4 linked regions of the Schizosaccharomyces pombe genome follow. The protein of the gene in region 2 purifies or fractionates together with the protein of the main gene of each other region. This does not show direct contact. Each region holds a gene or a part of one and is shown on either strand. Other genes may lie near its edges. The genes, in order: rvb2, tti2, asa1 and tel1.

What was found.
Region 1: the proteins of tti2 (region 2) and rvb2 purify together in Schizosaccharomyces pombe (affinity purification with mass spectrometry, with the first as the bait; one study listed by BioGRID). This does not show direct contact.
Region 3: the proteins of tti2 (region 2) and asa1 purify together in Schizosaccharomyces pombe (affinity purification with mass spectrometry, with the first as the bait; one study listed by BioGRID). This does not show direct contact.
Region 4: the proteins of tti2 (region 2) and tel1 purify together in Schizosaccharomyces pombe (affinity purification with mass spectrometry, with the first as the bait; one study listed by BioGRID). This does not show direct contact.

Annotation. Positions count from the first base shown.
Region 1 is NC_003423.3:1,522,194-1,527,529, reverse strand, and holds rvb2 (chaperone, AAA family ATPase Rvb2), read right to left. Parts: upstream 3,539-5,336; 5' UTR 3,524-3,538; coding exon 3,475-3,523; intron 3,374-3,474; coding exon 2,025-3,373; 3' UTR 1,838-2,024; downstream 1-1,837. Other genes in the region: U5 snRNP complex subunit LIN1, read left to right, coding at 565-682, 729-1,837; Lid2 complex histone demethylase H3-K36 subunit Jmj3, read right to left, coding at 3,945-5,336. UniProt on the Schizosaccharomyces pombe protein: DNA helicase which participates in several chromatin remodeling complexes, including the SWR1 and the INO80 complexes.
Region 2 is NC_003423.3:3,896,449-3,904,724, forward strand, and holds tti2 (protein Tti2), read left to right. Parts: upstream 1-3,487; 5' UTR 3,488-3,598; coding exon 3,599-3,673; exon of another isoform or gene 3,674-3,717; coding exon 3,718-4,722; exon of another isoform or gene 4,723-4,770; coding exon 4,771-5,094; downstream 5,095-8,276. Other genes in the region: trs8501 (TRAPP complex subunit Trs85), read left to right, coding at 1-938; cmp7 (ESCRT III complex subunit), read left to right, coding at 1,648-1,926, 1,970-2,371, 2,433-3,101; SPOM_SPBC1604.16C (G-patch type RNA-binding protein), read left to right, coding at 5,184-5,783; gpi16 (pig-T family GPI synthesis protein), read right to left, coding at 5,972-7,609. UniProt on the Schizosaccharomyces pombe protein: Component of the tel2-tti1-tti2 (TTT) complex that stabilizes protein levels of the phosphatidylinositol 3-kinase-related protein kinase (PIKK) family proteins.
Region 3 is NC_003424.3:5,065,285-5,073,409, reverse strand, and holds asa1 (ASTRA-associated protein 1 Asa1), read right to left. Parts: upstream 3,819-8,125; 5' UTR 3,715-3,818; coding exon 2,608-3,714; 3' UTR 2,412-2,607; downstream 1-2,411. Other genes in the region: protein Red1, read left to right, coding at 1-21, 222-1,948, 1,993-2,198; serine protease Psp3, read right to left, coding at 4,215-5,570. UniProt on the Schizosaccharomyces pombe protein: Component of the ASTRA complex probably involved in chromatin remodeling.
Region 4 is NC_003421.2:1,272,625-1,281,670, forward strand, and holds the start of tel1 (ATM checkpoint kinase), read right to left. Parts: upstream 4,918-9,046; 5' UTR 4,812-4,917; coding exon 1-4,811. Other genes in the region: pdr16 (sec14 family protein), read right to left, coding at 5,249-8,275. UniProt on the Schizosaccharomyces pombe protein: Serine/threonine protein kinase which activates checkpoint signaling upon genotoxic stresses such as ionizing radiation (IR), ultraviolet light (UV), or DNA replication stalling, thereby acting as a DNA damage sensor.

The sequences.
Region 1 (5,336 bases), 2.4 Mb from region 2:
TGCAGATATCTTAAAGATAAAATGCAAATTAAATGGAAAAAGGTCACTCCATAATAGAATTTTTTGAATTGAATGAGAGCTTGATGTCTTATTTTACTGTTATACAGCGAATCTATACCAAGTTTCACATGCAATGTCACTCTCAGGATGATACCGTTCTTACGTACGGCGATATTATTATATGATTTTGAAATTGTAAAATTTCACGTTTGTTTTGTACATACAGGATTAATTTTCAGTAGTTTTTTATTTTGAAGAAAGAATCAATAATCAATATACTACTGGTATAACGCACAATCACTTATTCGTTGTCAGTAGATAATGCTTCATCTCTTTATTTTGCTAAACGTTCTTTAACAGAGATGTTTTCAGCTACGTAATTTTATAACTGCATGTAAAAAAAATACTATAGCATGAGGATGAGATTATTATTCGTCGTGCATTATTTTTTGGTAATATTTATTTTTGTATAATCATTTTATTTTTTCTATTGTTTCAGATTTAACACTTAATAATCTTGCACTCATAACGAGTTCGCAATTGCAACTACATTTTGTGTGAACAATGAAGCGTACGCTCAGAAACCCTGGCAATTCGAGTACAGTGGGTGATGTTCACGATGTTTTTTTTGAATACGATGTAAGCAATGTAGGGAGAAAACGTCCTAGGACAAAAGAAGAGGGTATGCAAATTCATTTGTTGATTTCTGTCTAACATTCAATTCACAGGATATTATGAATCTGAATCTGAAGAAGATGAAGACCAAATTCTGAATAAAGAGAAGAAGGAAGGGCAATCGGAAGATATGTTTTCTGATACTTCGGAAGATGAGAAGCGTACTCTGCCAAATGATGAAGCGCAAAAGCGACGTGATTTCATTGAAAATGGCGATGCTGAAAGATTAGCACATAAAGGTTTGCGAAATAAAGAGGTTTTGAACGACGATTCTGATGATGAGGACGATAACGGAAAGTATTCAAAGTTAAGATATGAAGATATAGAAGGCCAAGAAGATACAAATCAGGCTAACGACCTCGACGCGGATGAAGAAGGCAGTGAGATATCAGTTCCCTCAAGCCCAAAACGAATGTCCTTTAACTTAAAAGAAGATATGGAGGAGGGTGATTTTGACGAAAATGGTAATTTCATACGAAAAAATTATGACCCAGAGTCTCAGTATGATGCATGGCTCAATGGCAGTGTTTCTAATAAAAAAAGCATTGCAGCAGCCAGAGAAGCGGAGCAGAAGCGTAAGGAAATGGAAAACAGAAGAAGGAATCAAGAATTGGAAGAATTTAGTAAACTGCCTTTTTCCACGGTTCCTGAAGCGTTATCGTTTTTTATCGCAAGAATGGAGAGAGATGAAAGTATTTTAGAATTTTTGCAGAGACAAAGTGGTAACAAAAAATCGTATAAGAAAAAGAAAAATAATACCGCAGAGGGCATTTCTCCTGAAAGGAAAAGTGCTGACGCTTTTCGGAAAAAATTAATAGAACTTATAACTGCTGGTCTAACTTTTCTAGAGGATAAAATTGGAAAGGAAGATATATACTCGGAAACTAGAGAATCTCTTCAAAGAATTTATCAAAAACTCACGTCAAATTCATGGTCTTCTCCTGTTAGTTACGACGACTCAAATTCTTCACAGTACAACTTTAAGTGGGAATTTGACGATAAGACGTACGGCCCTTATACCGCAAGCCAAATACAGGCTTGGAGTAATGAAGGTTATTTTACGGATGCCAAGCATGCAGCATTTATACAATTAGCAAATATGGATGAATGGATGTATCCTAACAATATCTGCTTTTGCGATGTAGTTTCTTTAAAGAAATAGTCAAAGTGGATAATAAACTATTTTATTTCATTATATAACAGAACTTATAGCTTGTACCTTTGAATTAACGGAAAACTATAATTCGATAAATAAGTCTAAATTAAACTTGTCTTGCAACCTTTATAAAGACTTGCTATTTAATACTTTCATATTCTTAACTATAACAAAATATTCGTCTTTAGTGCTTTTAATCTTCCTGCATTGCAACTGCATTATCTTGTGCACCTGAAGCCGACCACTCATTTTCGGTTATGTAATTCTTTCCGTATTCCTCTAAATATTCAACACTTCTTTTTTGATCCAAAAATAATTCGTAAACACGTCGGATATCGGACTCCTCAATCGTAGCACTTTTGCGCTTCAAAGCAACCTGATTAGATGAAGATATAAGAAGTAATGCGTAGCGAAGACTAGTCTCCTGACCAATAGTGGAAAGGTAATCTAAAGCTGAAGGCTCCATATCAACATCTTCTTCTTGACAGCGAATCTTCAAGATTTCTTTTACCTCTTCATGGGAATAGGGCAATGTAGAAATAATCAGCATACGATCTAACAAATCAACTGGAATGCCATGAGGGGAACGATAATTTGTACCTCGAATACGAGTAATTCCTCGATTAGAAGCCATAATAACGATAGGAGCTAGGTCATCTTCCAATGCGCGATTGAAAAAAGAAAAGCACTCAATATCTAGCATATGAACTTCATCAACGAAAAGTACACCAGGGACTATTTCGGCTTTTCCTTCTTCTCTCCACTCACTAACTTTGGTGTTAATTTGTTCACGTACTTCTGGTTTAATCTCACCAGTATCACCTGAGAACAAAGCTAAGAATCCTTGTGTACGTGAATTAATAACATCAATGTCATGTAAGGAGACGGTATGGACTACCTCCTTTCGTTTTTGAATTTCTCCTTGAGGACATTGAACAAACCGAGTGTCAGCTCCCATAGCATCATAATCCCTTGCCCTCGAGAATGAACGACCGAGCTTAGTAACTCTTCCCACTGACTTATCAATACTAATAACATCACCAGCTAAAACCTTTTCTTTTGTGAGGGAATCAATCATCTTTGTTCCTAAATCATAAACCGTTTCCATGTCGGTACTGCGAATTGTAAGCTTGCCTTGCTTATTACCGCCAGTAATAGACCGATCAATTTGAACTTCCACAACCTCTCCTTCAATAATTTCTGTCTCCTCCTTAATACGGACACCTATGCTTTTTCGCAAGGCTTGCAACAGGGCTTCTGTTTTCGACATTTCCAAAGAGTACACTTCACTTGCAGAAAGTGTTACAAATGGTGTGTCACTACCTAAAGATTGAGCCATTCCCATTGCAATAGCAGTTTTACCAGTTGAAGGGGGTCCAGCCATCAATATGGCTCTTCCAGCTATCCTGCCTTCTTGTATCATTTTGAGAATTACACCGGCAGCCCTGCGAGCCTTGACTTGCCCTACCATTCCTTGGCTTGACTCCTTCGGCTCTAAATTATCATTGAGACCTATTCCCTTAATATGGGAGTGTGCTCCGACTAAAAACAGTAAAGATTAGTTAACTCACTCAATTTTAAAGCATTTGAGTCCCCCCAATTTCAAAATATGCTAGAGGTCTATTTCTATTTTAAAAACATACTTCTTTCTAATTTGGAGACATCATTATGAGAAGTCACCGAAATCGACATGATTATGTTGTGTTTGGTTTTTTATTCAAGACTGCACAGTCATTCTCACATAGCAATCATTACCTTGCGTTGCGGTTGAGAGCATATGAACCATCGCTAACTTTCCTTATGTAAGAAACTGAGGATAAATAATTAATATTTTTGACTAAAACTGGTTCTTAAATGTATCTTTAATAACTTCTTTACAAAAAACAATCACATTTGTCATACAAGTATTCTGCGTTACTAAAAAAGGTAGCGCGTATTTTATCATGGTTAATGGCTACACTAATCAATGTCGAAGCTGAAAATTAATTTAGTCACCGATATGATTGAAACATTGTAAATTTTTAATATTATTCAAAAAACTTTTAAAACGAACGACTAAATCATAAATACAATAATGCAGCAAAAATGCATTTACATGCAAATTCTTATATCCTTATTCTAAGGAAGGAAAGAGAGAAAAATCATCGACATTTTCGACTTCATCACTCACATAAAGCTCATACGTATCTAGTGAAACTGAGAAATCCACTGCGTTTCGACGAGTAAGGTTTGCGCCAGCAATAGAAAATTCAGATTCTGAAGGCACAACTGATTGTGAACGATCAATCACTGTTAAACGATCGTCAATGTCAGAAGTCTCAAAAATGCTGGAGCGAGTTTCAAGAACGTCTTCTTCCAAATCTGCTACCGAGCTCCGTTCAACATCTTCAAATCCATTTTTACTTACAAGAGGATCAGATAAGTCAACAACAGATTCGTTAGTATTGCTGATCGACTCTAAATTCACGTTGACGTCTTCTACCGGAGTTGGTGCCACGTCAACAGATGAAGTCGGTTCAGAAGATTCTTCAGCAGCAATAGTCTTTATCGAGGTTGGTTCAACTGAAATTGGTGGAGTGAATTCTATGGGTTTTCCTGGTAACAACTTGGGTAAAACGAAGCGATCAAGTGAAGGTAATTCTGAATATTCATTCCAGTTAATAGGAACACCGTCATCATAAACGATATTAGGAGCTTTAAGGGCTGGATTATAATATGAACTCTCCCGCCGACCAGCAGCAGAAGAAGATGTTAATATACATTCATATGGTACCTCAACTACATCCGATTTTTCACATTCGAGGAGCAACATATGCTCACTAACCCTGTCTTCGAGAATCCTCCCCAAAAACAATTCTCCACGAGCGAACTGTGCAGGAACAGGAAGCCCTAAAATAGGAGGCGGATGCAAAGGATGTGATGATGGACGAGTATATAAAGGATCAAAATGAGAAAACTCTATGTTATCACCGTTTTCTTCTTTCTGTTTTTTTATATACTCTTCACGTGCCTTAGAATTCCAAATCAGTGACAAAGGAAGCGATCGGTTTTTGCGCTCTTCACCCACGTGAAGGGAAGATAATTCCTTTTCGGTAGTTGTAGTAGAATTAAAGTGTTCAGTAGATGCACTCTCATGATTAGACATTAAAGGAGATGGAGGATTAATAGAGTTAGGTGAGTCAAAATCTCGTTGAGAAAATGAATTATTATCAACACTTGAATGAATCGGATGAAAGTTACCACTATCATGGATGTTGGATTCGGGTAAATCATGCAAGTAAAACTCATCCAGGAACTTTTGAGAACAAGCACGTTGAGGCTTATGCGAATGTGGCCATAAAGATTTAGAGGAATAAAGGGATTCTGAAACCATAAGTCTTCGTAAATTAGAAAATTCATAGTTGGAAGCAGATCTTGGTGAACGAAAGACAAAACGTCGTAAAACAGCGTCTCCTAGACAAAATGCACTATGATGTGTGCCTGGAAAGGTTATAAGCAGTTCATC
Region 2 (8,276 bases):
AGGCCGAATCCGAACAATCGTGTTTGCCTCTTTATCCTTTACTGCCTGTAGAAGAAGTGGAAGGGATGAAAAAGTTTGTTCAAACAATGTTGTATGATAGTATATATCCTTTTATGCAAAGATGCGTACGGGCCTGGGAAGAAGATCTGACCCCTCAATACGGTAATTTAACTACCAGGCTTCTATTTGCCTCCAAAAAATACTGGTCTCGTAATCATTCAAGCCATTCTCAAGGTAACTATGATCCACTATCCCTTATTTATTCTTCAGAAAAGCAGGAAAGCATAAAAAGAAAAATGGCGGATTTTTCTTTTATGCTTCGTGATTACAAACGTGCTTATGAAATTTATGATGAGATTCGGAATACATTTTCTCAAGACAAAGCCTGGAATTATTTAGCGTCTTGCGAGGAAATCCAAATAATATGTCTGTTAATGCAAAATCGGAATATCAGCTTGAAGTCGCAAATTTCGTATTTGAACAAATGGTTCGACGAAATGGTTTATATCTATGCTGTTCGTCTTCACTCTTTTTACTATACATTTAGAAGTGTGCTAGTTACAAGCTTGTTGCTCTCGTTGAAGCCTGCGTTTAGTATCGACTTTGCAGCATCCTGGCTTGCAAAGATATTGGAACCAGGCCCTATTTCCCTCAATCCGTTTGAAACTTCTTTCTTAAATACGACAATAGCTGGAATGTATAGTAATAAGGAACATGTTGGTGTTACTGATGGAAATCGCCGCAGAAAAGCTGCTTTTTGGTTTGCATATAGCGCTGGCTTTTGGCGGGACTGTGGCCATTGTAAAATGGCAGAGATTTGCTGGAATCTTGCTAATCGTGTGTATTCAAAATCAGGATGGGAATCGCTTTCTGAACATATGCTGGACTTAAAACCAACGCTTTCCGAAAACTTTCGGGTGAAAAATACTTTTCATTAGACAACTCATCCTGTCATCTGGGCAATCTTTGGTACAAGATCTGCTTATGTAGGTGCTAAACTTTCGATTTTGGTTATGAGCTTATTAATTCAAGCGCGATTAATGCGAAGTTGAAAAATTATATTACCGCTTACAGTATCATATTTATATTCAATTAGCTAGTTAATGACTTTAGAAATTAAAACTTCATTTTTTTTTTGTTCACGTTTTTTGAAATGTTGCTTTAGAATTTAGACTGATGTCAATAATTATTTTAAAATAAAAAGTATATATAAAAAATAACTGTGAAATTCAAAGAGTAGAGGTGTAAGCTATAATTTTGAAAGATTTGAAAAAGGAATAGGAGCTGGCATAAAGGAGCTTAGGATTTCCAATTTAAAATGTAGCATTAGCATTATAATTTATTATATCAAAATTATAATTTAGTATCATACTCAATATAACATATATTAGATATATGCGATTTTACATTAGTCAACTTCATACGAAATTGCTGATGTTATTATAACTTGTCTATCTTATCAGTTTTAGAATAAATTGTTCATTGTCTGAATTTTTGAAAACAAATCATCAGCACCTTATTAGAACTCCAAATTTAGCAATTTGTAACATTACAAAAGTACAAGTGACAAGTCACCTCATACCATTAATTCTGTTTGAAAACTGTATATAGTAAACCACGCAGGTAGCTTCAGGAATATACGACAGAATGGGAAAAAAGGAGAAAGTCAATGCTTTGGAATTTTCTGTTAATAAAGGAATTTTTACAAAAACTCGTTTAAAAAGCCTGTATTCTGACTTTACGAGTCTGTTTATAAAAAATCCTGAAGGATTTTTGGCAAACGTAAATACTTGGAGAGAAGCAATTGAAACATCCGCATGGTCTGGGAAGTTGAATTCTAGGATAATCTTAGTTTTCGATGAGACTTTTGAAAGTGCGTTTTCAAGTCCTGCTTTAGGTAGACCTTTGAGCCTTGGTGCTGTTGCGGTACGTGAATTAAGCATTTTTTTTGAAGCTAATAAGCATATAGGCTTACTGGATCCAGCAAGGGGTTTGGCTTCGTAAGCAAGACTTTTTGAACGATTGTAAAAAAGGAAATTTAGTAAGAGAAGACGGTTTTTCTATTTTTTCAATTCTACGGTGGAGTTTTCAGAAACTTGGGTTTCAAAATCAAGCCTCATCCATATTGTCAAATAGATCCCCGAGTGGGCAGTATGTAATTCGAAAAAATATTGAGAAACTTGCTTGCCTTGTACACAATGAAGCAATGCGACGGTGCAGCAGCTATACGAGTGCAATTTATACTTGGGACTTTTTTCAAGATACTTTTGGAAGCTTATACTGGGAAGAAGGAAAATTAAACAAGGATGAGATGGAATGCCTTCTTAATTGGATGTGCTATCAAAAACATGTTTTAATATTTGATTCTAAGGTAAGTTCAGATTATATGTTTTCTCAGCTATTTGTCGATACCGTTTTTTTAACGAGAATAGATAATCAAGTTTTTACCCAACAGCCAAATTGATGCTCAATTAGCTTCAATTGATAAGTCTATTGATGGGTCTGTTGCAGATCTGATACAGGCTAGGGCATCCATCGCCCAAAGATCAGAATTTTTAAACGAGGAATTGGAGCAACTTTCACAAGTGCTAAACCAAGCAGTTAAAAAGGGAGAGAAAACAATAGCAATAACTTATTTACGTCGAAAAAAGATTTTGTCTAAAGATTTGGAAAGGAAAGTTTCTTCGCGTCTGCAATTAGATACTATAATTTCTAATATTGATAATGCGGTTGACAACAAAATTTTGCTTATTGCAATGTCTTCTGGCTCTGAAGCTCTAGACGCAATTTTAGCTCAAATGGGTGGAACTGAAAAAGTGGAAGATGTCTTAGAAAACGTAAATGATACACTGGCTCGTTCGGAAGAGATTGATGCAACTATTCAAACTTACAATCCTCAAAACATTGATTTAGAGGATGAAGCCGTTGAAAAAGAATGGCAGGATTTGGTAGCTGAAGAACAGAAGGTTGAAGATATCGTGTCTACATTAGGCAATGTTTCTCTAAAAACACCATCTGATACTTTTACCCTTACTAATACTGACTCGGATAAAAAGACTTCGAAACCGGAGAAGATTCAAGCTGAGCTGGTTGAGCAATAATTTATATACGTCCTTTTTTAACGATCACTTAAATTCACGGGAAATGGTTTGGTTTACTAATAATTTATGCACATACTAAAGAATAAATGAATACTATAAAAACATTTTTCTTGGTAATAACTATAAAAAACAATAATGCTTATATACTCAATAGAACTTATATAGCTAAAGCGATAAGGTAAAGTACCTGTGTAATGAATTGATGTTAGTTACTAAAAATTTTGCTTTTTATACCTTTAAAAACTAGTAAATTGTTAATTTATTAAATTGATTTCTTGGCAACGACTTAGAAACTTACAGTATATCACATACTCTATAAGTTTATATTATTAGTGTATGACCATAGCTTAACATGAAATACTTTTTTCATAGAATTTAAGTTCTCTAATAACTAAGTGACATTACAATTCTGTTAATATTCTTTGTTTACAAATCAAACAAATAATAAAACATTAGACTTAATAATTATCTAATAGAAGTTTAAATTGGCAATATCTATGCAATATTACAAAGAGCTAGCTAGGCGATTGCATACTCTACAATCAAAAAATGAAAAAGAAGCTCTTGAAAAAGTACCGTTTTTAATTCACTATTTTCAAATTTTAACCAAATATAGCAAATAGACTTTTTGGACAAATTGGTGGTAGAGGTGGACTCGTTGGTTCATGAACAAGATTTGAGGCCATTATTAGAGTTCATTAGCCCTACTGAAAGTTGGTTTTTACTGGGTACGGCGACAATTTTTTATATTAAATTATTAACTCATCCAGACCCTGAATCGATTGATGTAGTGATTAAAGAAGCGTATGTTGTGCGCGCTCACCGGATATTAAGCATTTTTCAAGAACAGTTTATAGAAAATGTTGTTAAAGAGATCAATTGGGAAATCCTAGCTATTTTAATATCATTAAGTGGAATCGAGAATGGACTTGTACGCAATTTGTCAGAATTCCTCTCAACTTCAATCCTCAGCGCTGTTCCTAGACAAAAATTCTTATTATATCTTCTAGAAAAGTATCAAATAAATCTTTTTCATAGAGAAGAACGGTTGACAGATCAAGGTAGACCGGTTGCATTTGAATTACCACCAGACAAATTTCACAGTGATCAAAGTAAAGCACTTCTTGAGCCAAAGTGGAAAACAAAAAATTATCTCATTTCTCACCTTATTTTTTGGATAATTGATCAGCAAAGTTCTTCTAGCATTGAAGTATGTTGGCACAGAATCATTCCATCTGTACTCCGAATATTGAATGATTTATCTCCAAACATTAAACTACAAGGAATTGAGCTAGTCAACAGATTGTTAAAAATTACGGAAAGAGAATTTCTTTTATATACTGGAATTCTAAAAATTTTGAAGGACGATTTGCTCGTATTCTATACTTTCATACCGCCAAGATTTACAATTCAAACGAGTGTTACCCTTATAAATGCCTCCTTCGCAACCCTAGTTTCTCTTTATCCTGAAGAAAATGAAAATTTAAATTCTATTATGCTGAACGGTATTAATTCTGTGTTTCAGTTTGCATTCGATTATCCCCTGATTCTTCAAGCCGCATTTTCTCAAATTATGGTTTTAACTGACAAAATGAATGTTAGTTATTTACCATACCTAACGGTAATAATTTAAATTCGTTACATTTGAAAGTTTACTAATCGCACTTAGTTGACTCTGGATGAACTGTGTCGTATAATACAAAACCCACAAATCATACAGATACCATCGACACTCTCCTTTTTTTTAGAAATATTAACAAAACTATTGGAAATTTACAGTTATCGAATATCTGCACACCATGTTGAGTTATTAATGGCACTAGTGGTTTGCAGTAGAAATTATATGCGATGTAACTTACAAGAGCATCACAATGCAATTGTACAAGCGCTTCAAAACCTCTTCACTTTGATAAAATTGAACATAACTGTTGAGCAACTCGGTGATTACAATGTAATATTGCCACTGCTTGAACCCCTGCAAATCCCACTTTGAGGTACATATAAGGAAAGACTCTCCTCATTACTAACCAACCTTCAACCTAGATAAATTGGTAACAATGGTTATTCGAAAAACGATGGAAAATGGAGAATAAAGGAAATATGGAGCTGTCAAATTCTTATGGTTTTTATAAAAATGGTCGTAGGGTTTCATTCGTAAAAGCCACTAGTGAACAATCGTTGGACGAAGCCACTTTTATTGAAAAAGGATCGGCACAAGCATTTTATCATTCGTTATTTGAAAATGATAGGGATAATTCGCATACTATGAACAGCAAGAGGGACGAAGCTGGTTTTGCTTGTGAAGTGTGTCAAATATACATTCCAAATAGCAAAAAAATTAATCATTTTAAATCAATGACTCACCTTCTTTCTTCACAACATATTTCAAACAAATTTCAACCCCATTTATTAAAACCAAAAAGCCTTGGTTATCGAGTTCTTTCTCAGTATGGTTGGTCTCCCCAAGGAGATACTGCTGGATTGGGTTTGGAAAATCAGGGTCGTCGTGCCCCGGTTAGAGCATTTCGTGTAAAAAATGATACGATTGGACTCGGTACCAAGATTGATTTGGAGAAAGTTGCAGTAAATAAATGTCGCAAAGGCAAGCGTCAGTGCCAAATCCAACACTCAAAGGATGTACGCCTTAAAGAAGCTTTAATTAAACATTTTTCGTCTAATTGAGTTTATCCTTCTTGCATATGTCCAAACGTCATTAACAATTTTAAGTGTGCTAAATTTGTCCCATTGAATGTACATATTTTATAGTGTTTAGTCGATTGGTTATAAATCTATAGTGTTCAGTTAAAACACAATTGGATGTTTTTTTTTCATGAGGTTTTGTTGTGGAAACACATTAATTAAGGATAGCATCACCCTCTTTTCTTATGAAATATTTTTTCTTTTAGTCTTTGTAACATGGAGGGCTGCCTGTTTTGAAATTTTGATTGTTGAGGTACAAACCGCCGAGTAAGCAAATTAAATATACCCCCAAATGTAAGCGCTATAACTGTTGAAGTAAATATGATTACGTTATACGGCATACTAAAATCTGGTGTAGGAATGAACATTAGAAGCGCAGCAGTTCGTAGGCTACAAAGCTTGGTATTGTTTTCATCAAACACGCTGATTATTGCTGGAGGAAGATTGTAACCACGATTTGCATCGGGAGGATATTCGTCTAGGCGTAAGGGTGTTTTTTCTACATTAAAATGAACAATCAGATTTGTATGTGGAGGTATTGAAAACTGGATTTCCATCATCGTGCCTGCCTTGCGATCTCTTAACGGTTGATAATACAATTTTTCAATAAAATCTTTAGTATTAATACGTGTTCCATTCAAAGTGATAGTTAAAGTATGTAAGTACACGCGCACGAACCAAGGAAATTTTTCAAAATAAACAATAGTTCGAGGAGAAGATGAGGGATTGTAAATTGTAGAAGACAAACTTCCCCAATGGTTGCCATCGTTCGAAAGGGAACGATCAACAGTGACTGTATGATTATCGGAAGTAGATTGAATAGGGATTTGAATATTTGCAGCTTCGTCTAAACTAAAAGTGTCAATTTTATCGCCATTTGAAACAAAAACGTCAGAAAAAGTTGAGGAAAGTAGACATCTTTCCTTAGGCACTTTATGAAAAAGATCATCCACGGTATGATGTTCGGTTGAATAACCAGACATTAGACAATGCAGAGAATCCATATCCTCATCATGGCAATATTCAGAAGGAGGTTGAAAAGTTGTTTTGCCCTTTCTCCTTCCGTTCCTTTCTACATCTACCACCGCTTGAATTATAATGCCCATCTTGACTGAAGCAAGAGACTGATTTTCTGAAGGATAAACATCTATGGAAAAGGAGTGCCAATCCGTATCAAAAAACAAATGGCTATCCAATAGACTGGCAATTCCTGCTTTTCTCTTACAAGGGAGAAGCTTGAAAAGCGGAGATAAGTTTTCAGTACAGACATCTTCTTGAGGGAGCGAAGCAAAATATTGAGTGTTATTGGAAAACGAAAAGGAGCCTGGATATGAAAGTTGTGGTTGATAAGTGTTGGAACTATCAATATAATTTAGTGAAGCACAAAGTAAGCCAGAAAGTTGGTTAGTCAATTTCAACCAATACTTCATGCTGGGATCATTCGCCATGAAAGCCCAAACTTCAAAACCCAATCCACCCGAATAAAAACCATTGTCGGGAGACTCTTTCCAATTTTCATAGTCCCATCGACCACGGGTTGCTCGAATATGTAGCTCTGAAACCTGACATTCGTCCATTACTCGGGCTATAGATAAAGGAAACAAAGAGAAGCTTGATTCGGAGAATACTGAAGAATGTGTACTGTCAGTTGATGCACCGATTTCAAATGCGAATGAAACATATGAGTAGCGACTTGAAAAGCTCTTTATGAATAGAGATTCATCATAAGTCTCGTCTATAGTTGCTGCCGTTAATGAAAAGGAAAGCAAGCTGTAAGCAAATAATAATAAACATCCGTTTTTTTTCATATCTAACAAAGAAACCTGACAATTTAAAAGTATTTGAGTATAATAAATGAAAATTAGAAAACTAATGCGATACGATGTATTGTGACCAAATGAGAACCTAACAATTGATTTTCTTTCGAATAGAAGGATCTTTTAAGAGAAATAGGAAACAGTTAATGGACAAACTGATCTCGATGTGAATTTAAGTAGTACTTTTCGAAGTTATTCGTGAATCAGATTTAACTTTCATGAGTACAATCACAGTACCAGATAAAAGTTATTGCAGCGTTCACTTAATAAAAAAAATGCAAGAATGGTAATTAAACAAAAAGCCAGTACACAATTGTCGAATGAAATAGAATATCTCAGTAGGTTATGGGATGTTAAAGGCGAATTCCAAAAAGAACTTGCTTTTTCAAATTCACTGATTTAAGACTTTATAACAAAAAGATCTTTTTTATAAATCCTAACTGATTAGTGAAATTAATATAAGATAATATGCTTGCTGGTGAATATTGAATCAAAACTTGCTACTGAAGTGATAGTAGCATTCAACCCTACGCTTAGAACTTGATCTTCACCAACAACCCAGTAACCTACTTTATACTTCTTTATGCGCCAGCGAGTATACCACCGAAGTCTTATAAGTTTTGTTTAATTTAGAACTATACATTAAACTATCAAGAAA
Region 3 (8,125 bases), on a different chromosome or scaffold from region 2:
TCAGTTGCCTCCTTTTGATAGGTAAGCATGGCATTTGATTAAACCTGTCAGTGCAGCTTATTTATCTTTTCTACGGAGCTATTCTCCGCTAGTTATGCTGTTCTGTACGGTTTAACTCCAACTTTGGGATTACGAGAATGACAATTTGTAAAATTTCCTTTTTTTTTTTCGAACTTGAATACATTCAACCCATCAGGTGTCTTATCTAACTAACACACTAGATTTCCTGGAACTAACGCGAATTTTTTTCCATTTGGCGCACCTTTTATGCTTCCTCCAGCTTTGATGTTTGGACCAAATACAGTTCCTTTCTTTCCTCAAACCGCCTCCTCAAACAAAACCTTTTCGAAGCGCAAACGGTCATCTGAGAATTCATTCAACAACCGAAATAAGGCGAAGTCTTCTGAAACATCGGATTCTTCTAATACTTCCCAGTCATTTAAAGAAAACCGGGCTCTTAAAGATACCGCTACTAGCCGACCATTGGCTTTATCATCCGACACTTCTTATCAAAAGAGTGAAAAGGCAAAATCAGAAAAATCACCTTTTCTTTCAACATCTAAAAATTCTGATGCAAATTATTCCAAGACTACTAATCAAAAGGAAGCAGAGAAAGCTGTGAGTCAGTTGTTTGAAGTAGGAGTGCGCTTTAACGATTTTATTGCTGAGGGCATCGAGCCTTCGGTTGTTCATACTTTATTTTTAAAGCTCGGACTGGATTCCTCTTCTGCTAGCTCCCAAGGAAGTCTGACACTATCTGCAGACAAAGCTGCTAGGTCTGCTAAACTTCGTAAGATTGACAGTAATCTTAGTGACACACATATATTACCTGGCGATAATGGTACACCTACCGTCCTTCCTGAAAGAAAAAATCTTATATCTTTACCACTTTTGAAGCAGGACGATTGGCTATCTTCTTCGAAGCCTTTTGGCTCCTCGACTCCAAATGTAGTTATTGAATTTGATTCCGATGATGATGGAGATGACTTTTCGAATTCGAAGATAGAACAATCTAATTTAGAAAAGCCCCCCTCAAATAGTGAAAATGGTCTTACTATGTCTCGTTCAGATTACTTGGCGCTTCTTCGCAATAAAGAAGAGGAAATACGGCGAATGACAAAGTTGATCTTACGGCTTGAGTCTAATAAAAAACCGTATAGATCGCCAACTTCTGCCGCCGATATGAAACTTCCATCTGTCCCTGTAGCTGCGGTTGACAACAAATCTAAAACACACTTGGATACCTTTGAAAAAGTCGTTGATCTTAGTTCCAAAGCCGATTTTGTGGAGGCTGGACCTTCTATTAGCTCGTCAGGAGCCTCGTCTAGTGCTGCAACTACGAATTCTGATACAACTGAGCAGATATTAGAGGCACCTTGGCTCAGAAAGACGGAACAAATTGCTGTGGTACATGAAGAGCATCCCGCACAGATTAAAAAATCCGAGATTGACATTTTAAATAACTTAATAGAAAAAGAGGAAGGAGAACTAACAAAATATCAAACTTTGGTGAAATCAAAAACTGAGATTCTAACACAATTGTACACTAGGAAAAAACAGTTACTCGAACAACAAGGGAAAGGAAATGTTGCATGTTTACCTAAAGAATCTGATTTAAGTATGGACTCAATAACCGAGGTTTCCGCCCAAGCAGATGAGAACTCATCACAGATTTTGTCTTCCAAAACGTCAAACGCGCCAAATGGGACGACGGAAACAGATTTTGAGGATAAGGTACCGCTTGTCGATTATATCTCTCCATTTTACCGCTTTAAATCTTATCGATTTAATCAACAATTTGTTGAGCGAGTACCGTTGAAATATCGGTCGCTTACCTACAGCAATAAGATAGAGCCGATGAAAGTTTTCTGTAAATACGAAACCACTGGTGGTGTTTGTAATGATGACCATTGCGAGGCGTCGCATTTTCGCGACATTAAAATGACGGGTTATGGTATTTGTGCTGTTGATTTTTGACTAACCTTTATACAGATGATGAAATTATACAAGATTTATCAAGGTACATCGAAGGAAATGATGAAATTGAGAAAGAGTCTTATAAATCCGGTTTAGATATAGTCATGAAAAATACCGATGAGAACACCGATTTCGTCGATGTTGCTACTCGAATCGTCGAATATCATAATCTTTGGAAGTCGGAGAGAATGACAATTCCTGTTGCAAAGGTTTCCATTTAGATTGAAACTGCCAAGCAACATCAAACTAACTGTAAAAATTTTGACCGTCAAAATTACGTCCTTGTACTATAAACATCACTATACATAAACAATGGCTCTTTGCCGTTATAAAACTAATGTCACTACTTAATATAGCTCAGGTTAGAATTATGTCTTTCGTACTTTCTATGCTTGCATATGAATCGCTCATCTTATTTGAGGCGATATCAAAATACTGGAAGATTAAGCATTTACTAGTCTGATATTTAATATATTTAATATATGTAATACGTTTAAAATCATTTCAATGGTTATTGATAAAAATGCGCGTATTGTAATAAGAATGAATTGAATCCTGCAAACCAAAAGTAAATGATTTCTTGAAAATGATGATGGATTAAACGTAACTGTAATGTCCTAAACTTTTGCCCTAATACAACTTCCAGAGAGATATTCTGGTGTCTTTACTAGCTAACGCAATCACGTTGCTGCCTGGATGAAAGGCCAAACTATTAATACCATCGGAGTGATATTTCAAAACCGCTAAAGGAGCTAATGTCTGGCAGCTGTAAACACGACCTCGACCATCCCATCCTGCAGTTGCTAATATCTTGTTATCACTTCGTATACGAATATTTTGTTGTCCACAATGCTTTGTCTTTCTAAATATAGGATGAGGCAGACTACCAAGATCATCAGCTATAGATGAAGGAGTAGGATGCAGACATATACAGTCATCAGCACCCGTTGAAAATAATTTGGAACCAGCGTACTCTACCGATAAAACTGGTTGAGAATGACTTTTGTAGGCGTAAACCATCTTCCAAACAGCTTTAAAATCGAGGGTAACAGTCTTTACATTTTCTAATGAACATATGTACTGAACCACATGACCGCTTTCGTAACCGGCAGCTAATAGTACATACTTCTCGTCAGTAACGGTTACTGAGGTTGACATTACTGATCCTGTTTTACCAACAGACTCTTCTGGCTGAATTCTCGTCTGTAGTCTTTTTCCGCAATCCTCTTTGTGTGTTTGAGGATGATACAATGATTCATCATCATATACATCAAGCTCTTCAAAGTTCAATGTATTGCATAAAACTACTATTTTAGATTGAGGAGAGTAAGAGAAGGGGCAAAAGGTTAGGGAATTAACAACGATATTGGAATGAATAGATATAAATGCGCTGCTCTTCTCAGTTTCAGAAGAGGCTTCAGGACCGTAATTTTGAAGTTCAGCTAGTTTTGATAATGACATAAAATTGTCGGTCATGCAATTAAAATCGATTTTCCAAGTGACGAGACGACAGTCTCTACCGTGAGTGCATAAGGCTCCTCCCTTGACTATTTGCATGCCCAATATGGTTTTTGTATGAGCTCTCCAGGCGCATTTTGGTCGCATACTAGTAAGACACCAACAAATTACAAAACCTGCCTCATCACCAGAATATAAGTATTCATTAGCGTCAAAAAGTACACTAGTGACACTGCTAGAATGACCACGTAAAACGTAAAATGGAGTAGGAACTACCATGAAAATTTAAATTAAAGCATCCACTTTGAGCAAATATTTGTAATCATCAAGCTGAGAGGATAGGGGAACAATACAAATTGAACTGTAAAACGAATTGTTGGTGGTAAGGGAATCAATTTTAATAAGCGGTATAAGACAAAATTATAACGGTGAATCCAGAAGGCATTTTTTTTTACCAAGTGATATACCATACTTGTCAAACTACATATTTACTACTAGTACGAATGAACGATAACAATAGTGCAAAAAGTAGTAGATAAGAAAATGAAATAAAATTCTACTATACCTGACATTACAAAAAAAAATCAGTCCTAAAAGAACAAATTGGTATCGTTTTAAATGATTTCATTGCTAAACATAACAAATGTCATTACTCTGAGCTTGTTCGTCTGATGACAGTAGATATTCAACAACTTGGTTAATTGATCATTCGTATCGGAGCATCAAAAAATAAACAATCAAGGTCATCAAGCTAACATTTACATACACATAACTAGCGTTTACTCATAATTGTTGAAGGCAAGGACATTAGGTGTGTCCTCAGGAATGCCATTTAATAAGTCTTTTAGGGCAAACTTCAGCATATACTTCTTCAACTCCACAGGATGATTAGCCAGCGAAGGATCGAGAGAGATAAAATAAGCAGCCAAACCGGCGACATGAGGAGAAGCCATAGAAGTACCAGAAAGGATCATAGAAGCCCTGTTAGATCCAATCCAATCAGACAAAATTAAAGAACCAGGAGCAAAGATATCAACGCAAGATCCAATATTGCTAAAAGAAGCAATTTGATCGTTCCAAGTAGAAGCACCAACAGTCATTGCATTGGAAACTCTGGCTGGAGAGGTACCGCAAGCATCCTCTGCATCATTACCAGCAGCAACGGCAAAGAAAAGTCCACCGGCAATAGCGGCATTCACAGCCAGATCAAGAGCAGTACTTGCATCACCGCCGATGGACATATTGACGACACTTGCAATTGATTCCTTGTCTTTCTTAGATTGCTTAAAGGCAAACTCGATACCTTTAATAATATCTGATACGGTACCAGTACCATCGGCTCGCATTACCTTAACGGCAACAAGTTTGGCATTCTTAGATACACCAAAGGTTTTTCCTGCAATGGTACCAGCAACGTGAGTGCCATGACCATGATCATCCACTTCGCCTTCTCCAGTGGGAATGGTGGCACCCCAAGTGGCACGGCCTTGAAAATCTTGGTGCTCAATGTTGATACCAGTATCGATAACGTATGCAGTAACACCTTCACCGGCAGTCTCATTGTATTGGTAACGAGTCATGGTAAAAAAACCGAGTTTTTTACGATGAGATACACGAGCCAAACCCCAAGGTGCAAAAGTTTGTTCAGTCATAACATGCATAACACGGTCAGGTTCAACAAGGGCAATGTCGGGGTGCTTTTGCAACTCGGCCACCAACCAAGGAGAAAAACGACCAGCATAACCAAGAAAAGCGTCTCCAATTTCAAAGGTATGCTTCATTAAAAAGGTAGATACATCCTTAAAATCTAAGGATCGTTTCTCGTGTAAATGCTCAATCCAACGATGATGTTGCTCAAGCTTCGATTTGTCAACAGAAGGTTTAAACATGACAATGTAATTATTAGACACAGCATCCACAGCGGCTGATGCCGATTCATCTAAAGGAAATGGCATAGAAGGATCATAATTGGTGGGCTGCTGAAGCGCAAAACCATCATCAGAGGGGCCCATAAAATGTTCCTCAGTAGCACCGCTTGAAAAGGTGTCATCCAGGAAAAACCTTAAAGGGTTGAAGGCGCTGGAAGGAGCCAGGTGCGCCACTAATAAGAGACCGCTAATCCAAGAAACTCTCATGATACAAAAATTGAGAACAAGAAGAATTCTACACACACGCTCACACGAAAAAAAAAGTGAAGACTTGTACTTTAATCAAGAGTAATTCAAAAAGCAGATTGAAATAAGCAATTAGCAAACTCTTTCAGCTTCAAGCAACCGCGTAGTGTCTTTGAAAAAATGAATTCGGAAAAAAAGAAAGGAATTTAGAAACCAACAAGATTTCAAGTAATGGATACAAATATAAAGCTTTGCAAAAGAAAAAATGCAACAAAGAAAAACAAAACAATGGAAATGTCAATTGCAAATCAGTTGAAATTACTCAAAAAAAGCAAGTGTGTTGTGAAGAAGTTAAGTTGTTGTGAGCTGTTTACTTAATGTAGTACAGGATAAGGAGGCTGACGAAGTAGCCCGAGTAACATATTACGCTGCCGAAGCTATACCATTCACGATGAGTGCTGTAATGTTGATCTAATAAGAACTCCGTTTTTTGTATTTTAAAAATATATTTCAAGATATTGAGCTCATAAGCGCTTCACAAATGAAAGAAACTAGGCAGTACATTTAGAAAATGAATATTACCATAACGAGGTTAGAAGGTTGAAAACGAAATAAAGGTAGGAGGGAACAAGGGGATTCCTGTTCCAGCTCGAGGAAAGAGTTTATATATATATATACATATATATTGGTTTCATATATCATTATTAGCTTTCAAGGTGATAGACAATATTGATCAATTGATTGATATTGTCAAAGTACGATTGTACATATGCCAACAATTCTAAGATACGCTACAATTCATTACGTTGTATATCACTATACGCTTTACGTTGGAATTACCAGCTAAAATCTCTTATTGATAAAATCAAAAGACTATCGGTTTATTTAGAAAACATTGTAGATTCTATGAAAAAGATTTTAAAAGGATCTTAAATTGAACACGAGGAACGAAGTCCAATTAAAGATATCTTATAAGTTAATTTATAGCTTAAGTATATGAATACTTATAATACTTGCTACCTGCAGGAGCTACATATTACAATATAACGAAATACAAGTCAAATTCTCCACAGCCCAAAATATTGTTAACACAGATACTGTCAGCAATACCACACTTATGATACACTACGTTGCGTATCACTACATTTCCTATGTTAAGATATTACTTAAGATCCGTTTACTGATAAATGCGGATAGACTGCCCTTCTATATACATGAATAAACATTGATATCAGCTATCAAGAAGGTTACAAATAGAGCTACCACTGAATCTCGTTCCTCAGTTCAGTTATTAGCTATATCGGTGACCAATACTAATAGACTTTTTATAACAATAAACATACATTGTTAGTTAAATATTGCATACCGCTACATTGTAGATCGCAAGTAAAAACTCACCGGAATTCTAAATATCGTTAAAACAGATATCAAACTGCGTAGCTAACATTACTACGACATTAAATACTCACTATTGTAATGAGTCACTATAATCATTACGATAACAAACCATCGTTTTCAATCACAATATTTTATTATGCTGTTCATTATTTTGTAAACATTAATTTTGTTTGTATTAAAGTAAACCATTAAACAAAAGTAAAAAAAGACAATTAAGTATGATTCATTAAGGATCAAGATGAAGGAGAAATGAATGTAACAAAGACAATGAAGTTGTGAATACAACAAGGAGGAACAGCGAGTTTTCCGATTTCATTAGTTGACGACAACAGTCAATTAGTGAACTGCTATTTTCCGAATAAATAAAACCATTATTTTAATATTCAATACCCAGTGTATGTTATCCAACATCGCAGAATCTTTCAAGCAATGCACTTGCTCATTCAATTCGTCAGGAAATAAATAATGCAATAAAAAGTACATTGTGATATACTCTAAACAAATTTATGATTTGTTTGAGTAAATCACAATCATAAAGGCGCTTCTTTATTGCACATTCTTATAAAGAAAAGAAGCCTCATGTAAAAAGCGCCTTTATCGTACAATTAGTAAAGTTAGCAATATAATTAGGCTTCACTTTCAGGGTTCATTTCACGTAACGAAATAGCTGTGTATTCATTCACGTGCTGTGTGGCATCACGAGCTAATGATGATTAGCAAACAATTTTTAATGAAGATAGTCTCTTTTCATCCTTACCATTGTCTCCTCTTAATCTTTCCATAATGTTTATTTTGCTTGATCCAGGTTCCACTATACTGTTAATATAAATTAATGTTTATTCAATAACAAACCTGTTTCGACAATAAAAACAAGGATGCTCAATATAGCAAAGATAATGTGATCAGCCAAAGAACATTTCAATCCCCATCTCTCGCCAGAAATGTGTCTTAAAGCCACTCGTGGTGATCCAACAAGTATGTTAAATAAAAAGACTTCACTAAAAGCCATAGGTATGTTTCTCCACTTTTCTAAAAAGTGCTTGATTCCTTTTCCGCAAGCCTTGGTTCAAGTTTCATAGAAGTCTAATGAGTTAGTGACTGAAGGTAAGATTACCCATTGTCTCACTTACAAGTCAAGAATATTAAAGCCAAAGTGCAAACAAGACACCAAAATCCAA
Region 4 (9,046 bases), on a different chromosome or scaffold from region 2:
TCAATGAATGAATCTAATAAAATGTCATATTTAAATAAAAGAGAACATGCTTTTTGACATATCAATTTCCAAATAATAAGTTTTGATTCTTCATAAGTTTTAGTATCGCATAATCGAGGATCGGTTTTGGGTATATAATGATTGAGATCAGCAATTTCCGGAGATTTGAAAAAATTCCAGCCCATGATGTCTGAAAAAAAGAGCTTCAAAGAGTCAGGAAATTCAGTAATATCGTATGCTTTGTAACATTTCCAAATTTCAAGGCTTAAGGAGTGTAAAACATTTCTGGGACAAGCATCGAGGACTTGCCAAAAGTAGAGACAAAGATAATTATTCATTGCGATTCTCTTAAGAAAGTGACCTCTTTCGAACAGTTTATTTGAAACCTCTATCCATTCATTTTTGGTTGTCATCACTGAACGTACAAAGTTTATTTGACAGCGTAAAAATCCATAACCTTCATACTCAAAATTTAGTAAAGCAGTAACGTAACCATCAAACCAAGTATAAAAATCTTGGATAGCCTCCATCTTCGTACCAATAGTGTTGTAGCAAAAACCCAAAAAGTCCATACAGAATTCGGCTAGTTGAAAGAAATAATCAAAATCAGTAGGTTTGAATTTTTTCAAATGAAAGCGCGCAATTCCTAATCCTAGTGATTGGGTACAAGGTATTGAGAGTAATTGTCTAGCTATCCTAAGTACTATCATTACCAAATAGTTTGAAGTGATAAAAGGATCAGAGAAACATAGAAAAGCACACAATCTAAAAGAAATAGTAACTTGAAGTTCTTCATCCGTCGCAAAGTGTAGTTGTATTGCAAGTCTCCTTAAAACTAAATCAATGACTGAAGGGATAGAGGAGAAGCCCTCTAATTCTTGGAAGAGTCTATTGCAATACCATAACACAGATTTTGTAGAAAAGAATGGTATCGCTGTGCTATTGTTAAAAGAGACGCGATTGGCAAAAATTGTTAATTGTGAGTACACCTTAAACGAAGTTGAGCTTATAGATTTAAAAGTAGAGCCTAATTCTTTAACCTCTTTAAGCATCTCTAAGCAGAACAAAAAAGCTTTGGAGCGGTTGAGTAATTCCACATCAAGTGCTTCATCAATAGAATTAAATCTCAACGAATACTTTTTATTCTCTACTTCACTTAGATGAGTATAAGTTGTTATAACAGGGATCAATTGCGTATACTTTTCAGAAAAATCAACAGACATGCGTGAAGTAATGAGTTTAGCCAAGGTTATATTCTTAGTCAGAATAAGAACAAGTATAATTTCGTCGCTGTTTTCTTTTAAAAAATCGGAAAGGCTGAAATAAATTGGTTTGTAGGGGAATTCTAGAAAGTCATTGGTTGTATTAGAAAGATCTTTGCTGACGAATGACCAAAATATCTCTAACCTGTATATTCGAAACAGTTGCTTAATATTTGCACTCTGAATGTGAAGCTTACGAAGCAAAGGTTCAAAAATAGTTGACGTTTCATAGCTGTTTGCAAGCTTAAGCAGCTGATACAACAATGCTGATCGATTGGAACTTATTGACAAAAAAACCTTTAAAGTCAAATATAAATAGCAGAAGCCTTTATACAATGACTTCTCAATTTTAATGCTTAAAATTGGGAGAACAAAACCTTCAATTAACGTTTTATCACATTTTTTAAGAAAAATCACCAAATCGTCAACAAAGTTATAAATAACACAAACATCAGAGTCTTTAAGAGTTAAAGAAATCAATTTTTGATAATCGAATTTTGAATAAACGTGAGATGTAGGGGATAACTGAAATATAAATTTTAAAAAAGTTTGTCTACCAGATAATGATGAAAATTTAGTCTCAATAAAAACCTTTTCAATGAATTTTGTAATCTTCACAATAAGTTTCAAAGTTGCGTCCGTGAACTGAAGTTTAGAATGAACACATTTTTGAAATATTTTAATAAAAATCATTAGATAGACTTCGTCTCTTTCATAATCATAATTCATTAAAATTTTTTGAGCCAGTATTTCAAGACATTTGTAGAAAATAGGTTCGGATGTCCGCGCAACATCTAGGAAATATGCACCAATTGCAGACATACCAAAACAAAAAGTTTCAATGGGATACAAATGAAGAATATTAATTAAGCTGTCATGAGGATGACTAGAAAAGTAGTCGATATATTTTTGTAAAATAAAAAGATCAGTATTCCGTATTTGCTCAAGCGATCCTTCCATCAAACCAAGTATTTGATGATTCCTGATTAAATTTTCTGGCCGATAAATATCTTCTTCCTCCTGGGAGAAATACTCATCGTGATCAAATTCTTGAGGCTTTATGAATACGTTTTTAGAAGCCATATCCATTATATAAAGAACCAAGGTTTTGAGCGGATTACTGTCTCGAAAATGAGTTGAACGAATTAAGTCGCTTCCAATTTCATACCGAAGATGTTTTGGCTCATCAGAAATAGTAAACTGCAAATTAGTAGAGATGCAATTTATTATTGGGTCATAACTGTGATTAGACTTAACGAAAGAAAGGACTTCAGGGAATAAATTTTTAAAAATGACAAGATTGTTAGGAGTAACATTATGAATACCTTTTTTCTGGATAAAACAATTTAGAAAGCCACATAAAAATGATATCTGAGAAAATATCATAACTGCTTCGAAGCTTGGGGTTTCCTTGTCAAGCTCATCTTTGTCATAAGATGCTGAGCTAATTTCGTCTATCGAGCTCTCCAACATTTTAATGACATTTTGCAAACTATCACAGTCAATAGTATGGTTACTATTGAAAGGATAGCATCCTTCTGTAGACTGTTTACATATTTCGTCAGTAGTATAAGGAAAACGAAGCGTAACAGGCGACCATGCTTCTTTGAGGTGAAACAAATTACGTTCGAAAGGTGATCGTATTTCTGTGGTGATATAAGATAATGACAACGGTCTATAGAAGATCATCATTAACAAATCAAAAATGATAATAGAAGAATCGGTAAATGAGAAAAATGGTAGTTCACCCTCTTTGCTGAACAAATGATATAGATGCCACTTCAACCATTTTAGAAACACAGATTTAAAAGAGCTTTGACCAACAAATAGGTTTTCATTAAGTAATATGTACAGAGATTTCCAGTAATCAATGGCTTCATATGAAAGCATTGGCGAGTAATCATTAAATAAAATAAACTGTTGCTTTATGAAAGGAAAAATGCTCGCGAAGCACAAAGGCCGATACATGTTAAAATAAGTTAAAATTTGATAGCATACAGGAGACGTAACAGAATTCAGGAGACCACGAGAAGCAGCAGCCAAAATTTCCTTTTTACATGAAGTCGTAAGCATCGAAGAGTAAGCTTTGTTGTAACAAATGTTGAACAATATAAAAAAAGACCAGCTTTGAAGTTCATTTTTTTTCTCAGTAAAGTTAAGACTCATTTTTTGAATTGACAATAGATCATCGTTTGTTAGATTGTCAGAAATAGCAGTGATAATTACCATGAGTTGCAATGAAAAAGAGGAAGCCGAGATATTGGCTAGCTCAGCTTGCAAAAGCAGTTCCTCTATTTGAGAACATGTTTTCTGCTTTTTGTTGGCTTGCTCCGTGCTTGCTAAGGACAACACGGTTTTTTTGAGGAGAATTAGTTTTGCAAGAAAAAAATAAATAAAGTAAGATTCAAAGAAAGAATTATGTCTAAGAGAAAAAAAAAGGTGTAGCCGTGGATCGTAAAGTTTTGCAATGTTGTTCTTAGGCTCAACTGTATGGAATCTAAAATTCGCAAGCGATAATGAGGAGCGTTTTCCAAAAAAATTTAAGAAATTTTTTAAAGAAAAAAACGAAGAGTTAAGAAGATCTAAATTAAAAGATCTAATGGAACGATGGGGATCCCATGTTTCTGAATTGGACCAAAGTGGATAAGAAATGGCTAAGCATTGTATAAGCTGCAATCTTAAATCCAGACGCTTCCATTTATCAGAGTTTATAAGAATCTTAAAGACTAATAAAACAACGCTTGCGGAATAATCATTACAATTGGGGATCGCATATGCACATAACTGAAACAAACACTGCAAAGCTGGTAGATGCGCATCTGTTTCTTCCGTGTAAGCATAAAAAAAGAACTCAAAAAATTTCAGCAGTTGCTCACTAACAAAATTAATTGGAGCCGCATACCATTGAACAAGAGAACGCATAACGTAAATGAGCTCAACGACTTCTTGCTTTACTCTTATAACATCGTGCGATTTCCAGATAGATATTTCTTGATAGTTTTTTTGGCTTATTGGCTCTTCTTCACTATCACTAACATAAGTTTCTTCAGCTATACTTAGTTTTTCAATAGCTTGACAACAATAGGAAACTAGTGATTGCCAATCCGAGAAACGAAGATGATGCAAATGAGGAGAATGGGATAATAGTAGCCGAAGAGCCTTAGAAAAATTCAAACAGACTACCTCACATATAGAACCATTAGCTGTGAAAGTATGTCTTAGAATTATATCTAGAAGCGCTAAAATATGAGGCTCCCTAAATAATAAAATATAAGATTCAACACATGTTCTTAACAAATAGCTAATATCTTGAAGCTTCTGCTCTTGGGAAGCTTTGGAAATTTGACGTTTACCATGATTAGCAGAAATTTGCCATTCAAGTTCGAATGCTCGCTTTATGGCCTTTTCGATTATTAAAGCATCTTCCTGATTTAGCGAATTTCCATTTCTGGAGTAAATTATGTAGCTGCGAAGATTTTGTAGAGCATCTGATCGTGTTTTGATTTTTGATGAAGACAACTTATTAACGATGTCATTTAGAGAAGTCATAGTATTACATCGAGTAAAAGTTATCTTTTCTTCATTAATATATTAACATATTTGGCGTAAACTGATAATTGAGTAAAAGGTTACGCGTCTCCAACTTTTGGAATTTGGAAGGTTCATTTAGCGTGTACGAATTTTACAGATGCCAAGTTATAAATTGAAGTGTGGTAATTCTTCTTATTGAAACTAAAAAGCACGAAACTATCAACTATATAAGAAAAAAGGAATTAAAACAAATGATCTTCTTTGGAAATATCAATGACTCTACTGTTAGCTAAATATGTACAGTAATAGTGGATTTTCTTTTTTCAGCACCGAATTATTCAAAAGCCCTCTATTAAAAGTTTTCAAGGCTGTAAAAAAAGAAATCATAGAACTAGCTCAATTGCGAATAAAGTATAAGAGAAAAGAGTGAAGAGGTTTCGAGAGCTTAAGAAAAACTATTCTATGCTATCCGCGGTGATAAACGAAACAGCGTCGCTAAATGAAGCCGTAGAAACATCTCGTGCATGCGAAAAAGCTGGTGTTTCTGAAACACCGGAACCAGATTTGGGAAGAAGATCATTCTCGGCATCGAGCCCAGCATCAGCTTTGGTGGATTGAGCAACAGGAATAGAGTCCTCCTTTTTTGTAACAACAGGCGTCGATTCCTCATCTTCAACGATAGAAACAGGCCCCTCATCTTTGACAACGGGCTTAGGATTCTCAACTCGTCTTTTTTGAGGAGAGAGCTCATCAGCACTATTGGTTAAAGTCTTTGGCTGTCTATCAGTATTTACAGTTGGAGTAACAGTTGGAGAAGATGAACGATTTGTCAATGAAGGACGTACATACTGTTGCATTAATTCAACATATTCCTCTCCACCCTTCAAATCCCATTCGCTTGTACCTATTTTAGATCCCATCTTCCTCCATTTTTCCAAGATGCCAAGACGACGTGACTTGCACAATTCCACCAACTGGGGCCAGTACTTCTCATGATGATATTCAAAATGAAGAGATCCACCAAAATTCGAATCTAATTGATCCTTAGGGACATAACGATCCAACGGTTCATTGAACTTTAACTTCTCTCGTGTAATAGGGTCAATAAATGGAGATATCAATTTAAAAAAACCCCATACAGCCCAAGGAATATTAATAACAAGTGCTCTTCCAAGACGCTCACAATAATGAGTTTGCAAAATATTCAGTACCTCTTTACCTTGACCAACGCTGGGATTTGAACGATTGGACGAAGACTTGAAATTAATCAACAAAGCCAATGTCTCTACTCCTGGAGGCATAAGATCAATAGCACACTCCAATGAAAAAACCAGATGCCGAATCTGCAGTGGTGAGGTTTTAGTGTTTTGCCTAGCTGGATATAGGTATAAACAGGGACGACCGTCCTTGTCGTAACCTAGCAATACTTGCTTACCAGTTGCATTCTCCTCTTGGATTTCATCAGGATCCATATTATTAACACCGAAGTGACGACGCCATACCAAAGTATCAACAATACGCTTTTTTGCATTGGAAACGTGCCATTTAGTAGCACGCAAATATCTAAGGATGCATTCGCGTGTTAGCCAAAGACGCTCCAACTCAATCAAATCCGTTTTCTTGCTAGAATTAGACGCTACAGGAATCTCTTTTAATTCCAAACAATATTTAAGTACTTCTTCATACATTTCTTCTTGTTCAGAAGTCAAATTCCGATAAGTGGGAGCCATAGGACAATTTGCATCAGGATAAGGAATTGGTGCATTCCAAGTACCATCAGGATCTAATTCCTTAGGGAACTCAAAAGATGCTTTAGACTTCAAGGCAGGACTGTTCTCATTTGCTTTAATTGGCGATGCTACCGTTGACTTAGTAGAGATAATAGTAGATTTATTAGGAATGTCAAATGATGCAGCTTTTTCTTGAAGCTTTGGAGCAGCTTTAGCAGATGCTGCTGGTAATACCTTATTAGGAGTAGAGGGCGCTGTACTGCTGCGTCCACCTTGGAATTTGGGAGCCACCTTGGGACTCATCGCTGGCAACACTTTACTAGGGGTGGAAGGGGCTGTAACGCTATTGCCACCCTGGAGCTTCGGGTTCATTTTAGGAACTGTACTTGGTGGCACTTTTCTAGGAGTAGAAGGTCGTGTGTCAGATATACTTTCGCTATGCGGTTCCGGATTTACTTTAGGACTAGTGGTAGTTGGCAACGGCTTTCTCGGAGTAGATGATTGTGTCTGAGAGTTTTCTACCAAGGATGCTTTACTGGAATTATCTTGACTTGAGGGATGATCTGAGCCGGATTCTGGAATTTTGTTATCAGTGCTCAACAAGCTTGGGGGGCTATTTTGCACCACCTTCTGTTTATAGAATTGGCTAGGAACGATAGTGTCATACGAAGAGACAGATTGTCTTTGGCGCTGCATTGTCCCAACGATTCCTTCAATGTCTCCTTCAGAAGAATGGAACTGAAAATGCCTTTCATCAGTGAGAGGGGCATTGGAGGCATGTTCAGTTTTCATCGCATCCTCAGTCACGGCTTTTTCATCTGAAATAAAACGACTAGAGTCGACGTCAGTTTCTTTAGCGGCTTCATTTACCGAAGCATCGCCTAAAGAGGTATCTCTTCCGTCACGTTCCAAATCACCAACAACAACTTCAACGTCTCCGCGAAGTGAATGAAACTTGTAATGCTCTGTGTTTGTAAGCGAAATTTTGGTATTTTCATCACAAACAGCTTTTTCAGATTTTGCAGGGACATTAGCAGATACAGGATGCTCAGTAGGTTGTTTTTCATCAGAAACCGTCTCACTGCTATATGCTACTGCATCCGGTGATTTTAGCGGATTATTCGCAATATTTGGATTAACTTTCTCAACTCTTTTTTCAGATTCCGTAGTAGAATTAATCTGATCGACATTAAGTTTGCTATCAGATTTAGCAGCAGCTTCATCGACATTTATTTTATCATTCATATCTACATTAAGTCTGGGTGTATCTGAATCATCGGGTGTAATTTTTGGTTCAGCGGCAGAATTACCTTCGGAAACATCTACCGTTGGAGCTGAACTACTCATGGCTGCATCATTAGCTTCAGCTTTATCAGATTGGACCCTGCGTTGAGCGACCTTTCTTTCACCTTCAGCATTACGAGTTTTTTGGTTAGCTGCTTGAATATGCTGCAAGTTGACTGTATTTCTCATCTTTGAGGCAGGAGATGAAGAAGACCCTGTTTTGGTATGTACAGTAGGATTACCAACAGGTACAGATTTTCTGACCTCGTTCGAAGTGGAAGATGTGCTAACATTAGGGCGAGCAGGACGCACATTAGAGGCGGGTCCTTTGGCAGCAGTATTTTCTCTTTCATGAATACTGCTGGTATTGCTTTTATGCGATTTTCCTTTTGACTTGCCAAAACCAAGTTTATGGAGAAACTTACTAAAGCCGTTGTGGCCATGATGGTGATGTTCCGAATCTTTCATCGTGGTTTTGTATCGATAAAATTAACGAATGTTGGTTTTGAATAAACTATTAACAGTTTAGATTGCAAAGGGTATTCTTTTCACCGTAAAAGAAGAAATATCAAAGGAAATTAGAAATAATGGAATTAAATGAAAAAAGGTATTTTCCCAAGACTTAAATTACTATAGGGTTCGAAATACTTAACTCTTTTCTTTTTTCTCTATTTTTAGTAAGAGATCTCGATGGTTTACCATGAATTCCAGGATATCTTTTATCTCTGTTTCGACCAATTTAACATGCAAGCAAGTTAGATTATATTCAAAGAAACGTGTCTGATCTCTAAAGATAAGGCGCAGACAGAAATGCAAAGAACAAATGTCAGATATATTTAGAGTATTTCAATCGGAGCAATTCCGAAACAATCCAACTTCTGCATATGCACGTTTTCTAACGTTATTTCTCTAACAATCTCAATAACTGCTAAACAACAGTTTTAGCAAAAAAGTTTGTAAAGGAAAAAGTAATATAATAATTCTCAAAACAACCAATTTTCTTTAGGAATAAGCGATATTCAGCGTAGTACCACTAGATATACTTGCGTTGCTCGCTTTGTATATATATGGTAGTTGGATTGTTACAATGGCAGGGTGACTGAAGGATGAGCAAACGTAAGAAACACCGGTATGTACCGTCTTCGGAGCCGAATCGTCCGCGATGAGCATCTCAAGGATACACTAAATAAGATAGTGCGAAAAAAGGAGAACGTTATATAAAAATACTCAAACAAGAAT